Drosophila melanogaster: one gene and its partner. The protein of the gene in region 2 interacts with the protein of the main gene of each other region in a pairwise test. Each region holds a gene or a part of one and is shown on either strand. Other genes may lie near its edges.

The links. Proteins that work in one complex are often made in the same cells at the same time.
Region 1: the proteins of Csl4 (region 2) and Mtr3 interact in a two-hybrid assay, tested with the Drosophila melanogaster proteins (2 studies listed by BioGRID).

The regions. Positions count from the first base shown.
Region 1 is NT_037436.4:19,911,571-19,915,611, reverse strand, and holds Mtr3 (Mtr3), read left to right. Parts: upstream 1-1,896; 5' UTR 1,897-1,982; coding exon 1,983-2,133; intron 2,134-2,191; coding exon 2,192-3,021; 3' UTR 3,022-3,207; downstream 3,208-4,041. Other genes in the region: Rpn1 (regulatory particle non-ATPase 1), read right to left, coding at 1-421; Prp3 (precursor RNA processing 3), read right to left, coding at 3,284-4,038.
Region 2 is NT_033779.5:11,122,074-11,125,412, forward strand, and holds Csl4 (Csl4), read right to left. Parts: upstream 1,495-3,339; 5' UTR 1,398-1,494; coding exon 1,239-1,397; intron 1,185-1,238; coding exon 729-1,184; 3' UTR 501-728; downstream 1-500. Other genes in the region: Nup160 (nucleoporin 160kD), read left to right, coding at 1,806-1,902, 1,967-2,069, 2,123-2,614, 2,672-2,853, 2,927-3,336.

The DNA.
Region 1 (4,041 bases), on a different chromosome or scaffold from region 2:
GGTAGGCCAGGCAATCCTTGCCGCTGCCCATGGTCATCGAGAGCACTGAGATGATGTCGGCGCACAACTGGCGAGCCTGCTCATTGGGCATGTGCTTGTACACCGTCTTCATGGTTTCGTAGTGCGGGCGCATGAACTTCAAAGGCTTGGGCACCGAGGTCATCGACGTCGTGGAGGCTCTGATCAATTTGGCCATACTCTCCAGCGTCGGCTGGTAGAGCTTGGCATCCGGCTCCTGCAAGTGCTGCACCAGCAGCTCCAGCTCCTCCTGCAGCTGCTGGTCCTCGTCGGAGAGCTCCGGCTGCTGCTCCTTGTCCTTGCCGTCCTTCTTTTCATCCTTCTTGGCCTTCGGATCCTTGGCATCGCCTTCGGATGCCGCCGGCTTCAGCGGCTTCTTCTCCAGCTTGGTCTCGCCCGTCATGATTTCTTTCCTAGCTTGTCGGACTTAAGGGATTTAATTGGCACTACGTTTTCTTCGATTGTAATGCGGTTTATGCGGCTTTGTTCCTTCTTTTTCGTTGTTGAAACAGCAGAATTACACAGCGCTTTTTGCAGTGTGACCGCGCGGCGAACGCCAGGCTATGCCGCGCTAATCTGTTTAAAATACCAGAATAATCAGCTACCGTTACCACGAGCTGGTAACGTTCAAATAGTGATGGCAGTGACTTTCACCTTATCGATTTTTAGGGGCCTTGCCAATCAAAATTGAAAGGTTTAGAAAGTGAAAGAAAAAGCTAACTATATTTGTGTATGTGTATATATTTAAAAATGTTGTGATATGCAGATATTTTAAATATCCATTTAACTTCCGGCCTTTGCAGTTGTATTAGCTGTAATTCCTTGATATCAACGGAGATCGTTTATATTTTCAAACATGTTGGGCTACTTATGACACAATGCGTTATTTTCTGGCCAAAAAACTCTTGTCTGCTTTTGCTGCGGAAGTATTTGGTGAAGTAGCGAGTCCCAATATGCAAAAATGGGTCTCTTGAAATTAACTGATCTAATCTGATTTCTTCAGAAATTGGTTGATGGTTGGTTAGGATGTTAATGGATCTCTCTAGTTCCAACATTCATCCTGCGTAATATCTTCGTGAGTTTAGGAAAAACATTATTTCACTGACACTGATTCATTAGATGAATTCTCGGCATCTCCTACAAAACTGTCTCCGTCATCGGACCCCAAAAGCTGTGAATTTGAGAAATCCTCTTGATCCGAGGTATTGTGGTTCTAATTTTTTTCTCTCTTGACTTTCATATCAGCAGCAATGGCAGAACTTTTGGTCCTGCAAAAAAAGGAATCAGTCGTCAGGTGTATATAATATTAGAGATATGGGTTTCAAACTATGAATGGGTAACTCCGAAATAATGGCTATTCCGCATGGCTTTTACTTGTCTTGAATTTTCTTTTAAGATAATACTAAAGCTAGCCTCGCAACTCTTCACTGAAATTCAAAAGTAAAATCTATAACGCGGGCATATATCCTACCATCAGTATTCTATTCCGCGACACACTATTCCAGGCCTGATGCAAGGCCATCCATGGCAGTGCTTCTTGTCGGCCATATTCCCAGAAATCTCTTCAGTCTGTACCGAGTGGATTAGCGTTATCTTAAGCGTTGTTTTACACTTCGGCAATCGATTTTTCTGCGATTATATTTAAGCTCTTTTTTCTCTTAGTAACAAAGAAAATACTACTAAGTTATCAATTATCAGAAGGAATCAAAACATTATTTAGACTTTATAAATAATTAGCACAATTAGCACTAATAAGAAGACTTATTTTAGGTTCTTATTATTAAGGTTCTTTGAAGGTTTTCATTCAAATACGATAACCCACGAAACGATACAGAATCGGTATAAAATATCGAAATATACAAAAATACCAGATTTGTATTTTAATCGAAAACTTAAAAGTCTTTAGACCACATGTGAACTCAGTTTGTTTATTTTTATATTCAATCAAAAGATATAATATAAATATGCTAGCGGTGAACCAGACGAAGAACACCCTACTCGATGGAGCCTCCATTGAGGAAGAGCCGTACACAACTCCGCAGGAAAGCGAGGATTTCTTTGAGAGTCTAGACAAACCGTCGAGGGAGCCAACACAACTGGCACCCAGAAACACCTGTTAGAAGTGCACATCCTTATTTGTATTTCAATTTCTCATACCTCTTGTGACTTACAGTCATCCGCGCCGGTGTGTTGACCACAGTGAGAGGTTCCGCCTACATGGAGTATGGTAACACCAAGGTTCTGGCCATTGTGGCCCCGCCAAAGGAGCTAATCCGCGCCAGCGCACGCAGAATGAACATGGGTGTTCTGAATTGCTATGTGAATTTTGCGGCCTTCAGCACAGGGGATCTAGATTCGGTGCCGGAACGGGAACGCCACCTGAGCAGCATGCTGACCAAGGCCATGGAGCCGGTGGTGTGCCGCACGGAGTTCCTTAACTTTCAGCTGGACATACGGGTGCTTATTCTCGACGATGACGGCTGCCTGCTCAGCACTGCCATCAATTGCTGCGGAGTCGCTTTGGTGGAGTGCGGCATTTCCACTTACGACTTAATTACGGCCTCCACAGCTTGTATCTATCGGGATCACGTCTTCCTGAATCCCAGTGCCAAGGTTGAGGAGCTGCTCTGGAAGCATCGCAACAGCAGCACCGATAGCACAACCAGCCCATCATCCGCCCAGGAGCACGGCCTGATCATTACCGCCAGCATGGATACCTTTGAACAGATCGCCCAGTGCCAGCAGTGCGGATATCTCAGTCCAGCCACCTATGTAAAGCTGCTGGATTACACCCTGGCCATTAACAAGTCCCTGAGAGAACTAGTCAAAGGCGTGCTCACGAAGCGGGTGAAGGAGCAGCACGAACTAGATCTACGCGAGAAAGCCGAGACCGCTCTAGAAGATCAGCGTTTGGAGGAAATAATCGAGAAGCTAAAGAAGCAAGGACCAGAGGAGTTTATACAATCGAACATCCGGGAGGATCCCTATGTAAAGAGGCAGTAGTTGGTTGAGAATAAATCATACTAATATAAATCCCAGATCTATTTGAACAACAACCACCACTTAAAAAATGATTACTACAAATATTTAGAGTCCAGATAAAACTTTTATTCGTTATTTTTGCACTTCCAAAGTTCCGAATAGCTTCGAAAATAATAACATCAAATGCGTAGCGCGCTTCAAAACTTTAATTCAGACTTGTATCTTTCCGAAAGTGAATTTGTAGAACTGTAGTGTATCTAGCAATTCTTAAAATGCCTTTTATCTACTGCTGATCCGTGGAGGCCTCAAGCACGGCTCCGGAGTAGGCCAGATCCCAGTAGTGTTCGACCTGGTGCTTCTGAAAAAACTCACGGGCCATTTTTTCCATTGGAAAGATCTTAAACTTGATCTCGCCAAAGTGCCGTCGCTGACTAGTCCCCTCCCAGACGAGTACGCATGAGTTCGGCACGTCCTGGCCGTCATTGCCCTTGGCGTTGTCCTCCTCCCACTTAATGCGCGTTAGCATGAGCCTGCGATACTTTTTCTGCTGCTTGGGCCCACCCTCCACGACAACCACACAGCAATCCCGGAACAACACCACGCTGCCGGTCATCTGCAGCTGCTTGGCATTGGTCTCCACCTTGAATTTCTTGCTCTGGTTGTCCTGCAGATCTCGTATGCGATAGACGCTGACATGTACACCGCAGCTGGTGTCTTCCCTCAGCTTGCGCTGCTTCTTTTCGCTCTTCTGCTCGCTGGTCAGCTTGCGCGCATTGTTGGCATCTTCGTGCGCCTTCTGCCGCTTGGCCATCTGGTCGCGCACATGCTGCTCCATTTTGGTCGGATCTTGTACGGCCTCCGAGCCAAGCACACGCATCAGGTTGGATATGCGCAGTTTCGGCTCTGGTGGGGCCACCAAACCCAGTCGGATCTTCTCCTGCTCCTCCTTCCAGGCCTCGCGACGGTTCTGGCGACGAAGCTTTTTGCGCTCTTTCTTTGTGAGGAAAACCGGCAGATACACTGGTTTCAAGGGCTCATCTG
Region 2 (3,339 bases):
TCATCCATCAACAACAGCTCCCAGCGACATTGATTGGCAACGGGCTACGGGTTTTTACGCCTCTGACGCCTGAGCCTTTACAACCATCTATTTGCCTTTATGATTATATATTTTTTTTTTTGGGAACACGTGCAATTGCATGTTATTGAAATTCGGATTACTTGGAATAAGTACCTGTCGTTTACCCTAAAAGTTTTTATGTTGCCAACCTATAAAGTGCATGTGCCTGCATATATTTAGATTACCTTGTGTTTATGAATTATTTTAAACATAAAATATGTTTTGTTAAGTTGCTAGAACAAATTACCGCACAATTTCTTTAATCTATTCCCATGACTTTCGAATCTATAGAGATACTTTTAAAAACAGCAATTGCATGACGATCCAATATTAAATTCTAATCTCTTGTTGAATCATTATAACAAACCAATCATGAATAAATAACAAATATAAGATACGTATCAATCATAAAAGCTAAACTATGGAAACCAGCTTGTTTTGAACTTTTACAACTTAATTATAGATTTATTTAATGATTTGAAATAATGTAAACTGTCAAATAGCTACTTATCAACGTTGCTATGGAAATAAAATGCTAACATAAACCTGTATCCATATTCAGCGTCCTCTGGTTGCCAAGACATATAATTATTTGGCTAATAATCACTTACTAAAACATTTTTAGTTCCACAAATGAATTTAAGCTTCTGATTAACATGCGATTGACCTTATTTCACAGCATTTATTGAACTCTCAGGCAGAACTTTAGCCACTTTCCGTGGCTCCTTGATCGTGGTCTGGGGGCACTGCATCTCGCTCCAGCCGACCGGCACCATGGGCACCCGGGTCTTCCGGTAATCACTGGCATAGGCGATGACCACGCCGAGTTCATTTTCGGCGGTGGTCAGGAGGAAGGACTGCTCCAGTTGGTTAATGACCCTCGCCAGGATGACATCGCCCGGCCGGAAGGACTTGTAGATATCGACGCGATCTTTTTCGGTCTCCCGGACATCCTCCTTGCGCAGAAGTCCGCGGTAGCTGCTTTCCAGCAGCACATTTCGTACGCAGAAAATGGCGCACTTGGCGAATTTTGGAGTTGTGACGAGAACTCTGGCTGTGACCACGTCTCCGGTGGCTGGGATGGTTAGATGAAATCCGGGCTTATGCACACTAACCACCTGGCACTGAAATGGAGATTAATTGGTTCCCAGAGTCAACGAAATGCCAGGATTACTTACTTTATCACCCGAATCTTCGATGTTGACAATTCCAGACTTGGAGGCGTAAATGTAGCCATTCTGCTCGTAGGTGCCTATGCCCAGGACTATGCTGTCCTCGGTTCTGCAGAGTCGCTCCCCGGGCAGGCAGACTACAGTCTCATCCTGCTGTTCACTCATTTTTAGGCCAGAGACAGTTTTTATTTTAAAAAATAAACTAAATAATAAAGCCGCATCAACAAATGGAAACACACGTGCAATGCAGTGTGACCAATATGTGGCAATTGTTAAAATGCTAGCGACAACTTTCTTAATATCACAAGATTTAAAGGCATCTTATATCATTCCTGCTTTGCTATAATAAACTTTATTGTCATGAAATTACATTTAGGAAAATGTACAATTTTTAACTAACTTCTGTAATTAACTTTTGTATGTGAGTATAAAAAGCTATGTCGACTATTTTGCCTGGTGTGCACCGCTGGCGTAAGCGTTTTCCAACACTACTACTGAGCGTGTTTACGCCGGTGCCGCCAATAATTTTCCGTTTTCGTTGAGGTTTTTATATTAATTTGTTGTGCTAGCAAGATGCCCACATCCAAACTGCAAGCCAACATGAGCTACCGCGAGGTCATACCGCGGAACCTCAGTCCGGCGGAGTGGATCGAGGTGAAAATTAACACGGGTGAGTTTCGTGCAAGATTGCCAGAGAAATTCTGAGTAACCAAATGCTCCTCCGCAAAATGTAGGAACCCAGAGCACTTTGCAGGATTTAAAAACCTTCGAAACCTCCGGCGGCTATTGCTACAAGAATACGAAAAATGTTCAGACCAGAAACCGTTTCATATATTGGTAAGTGCAAATCAGAATCGTTAAATTAGTTTCACATGGCCACTGATTTGCAGGCGGACATACCAGGATGTCCTGGAACTATCAGAGGTTAGTTTGGACATCTCCCTGCAGAGGAATCACCTGCGTCTGCGATTCACCGACTCCGCTGTGCTGAATGTATCACTCACGGAGCAAGGTACATCCGTCACCCTGCTGGTGGTCACGGTCAGCAGTGTGCATCGCTATGTGTTTCCCTTGAAGGTCGCTGGGCAGGAAGGTGGCGCAGCTTCTCCAGAGGATCTGCTATCCCAGTCCATTTTCTACGACGTCAATGACAAGATCAATGATCCCAGCACTTACTATGTCACGGATGGCTTTGGAACTATGCCCAACGCGGCTGTATCGTACCTCACTCAAGACTCCCAGTCAGCCTACTTTGCGGTGGCGTATCAGAGCAAACTACTGCTTCACGTTATGAAATGCTCCACCGGCCATACTATCACCCACGAAATCAAGGAGCCGAAGCTAATGCCATGGTTTCTGTCGAATCTCAAGGGTGCCCTCACGTAAGTGGATAAACCTCGATAAATGGCAAATCCCTAATGTTTCATTAATCATTGTAGCGGCCGCTCTGAAACGTTGGAGGCAGCCACGTCCATGGCTTTCAGTGAAATCGGGGGGGAAATTTTCATTCTGGTTCTGTATCGCAATAATGAGCTGCGTCTATGGTCAGTGGATAACTTGCAGACTGTAGCCAGCATTAACTGCTCCACCGAACTGGGACAGGACTCAGCAGCTCAAGGACGTGAGTATAAAATATTATTACGATTTAGATTTATGATCTAGATATAATGGGATTATATTCTTTTTTTTAACAGCACAAAACAGCCAGCTCCGAAAAATAAGCGATCAAAACTTCTGTCTATTTCTCTCGCACAATTCCCGAGCTGAGTTTATATGCGTTAGCATAATGCCCGATGCCGACGATGCCAGCGTTATCAATTTGGTGCAGAACATGGTGCCGGCGCCGCAAACGGATTTGGTCGACTTCGATGCCACATCCTCGCACATCTGGGCCCTTTGGAGCAACGCTGAAGGCGATTTCCATGTCTCGGCAGCATATTTTGCCTCCAACAACGCAATCAAATGGGTTTCGGCTGCTCTAGAACCGCCACCGGATCGGTATTGTCTCACCATGGAGCAGGGAGTGGATCCACGCGAAACTTACTGCAGCTATATATTTCATCCTGGTCGATTTGACCGAAATGTAATTGCCAAGGCTTTATATGTG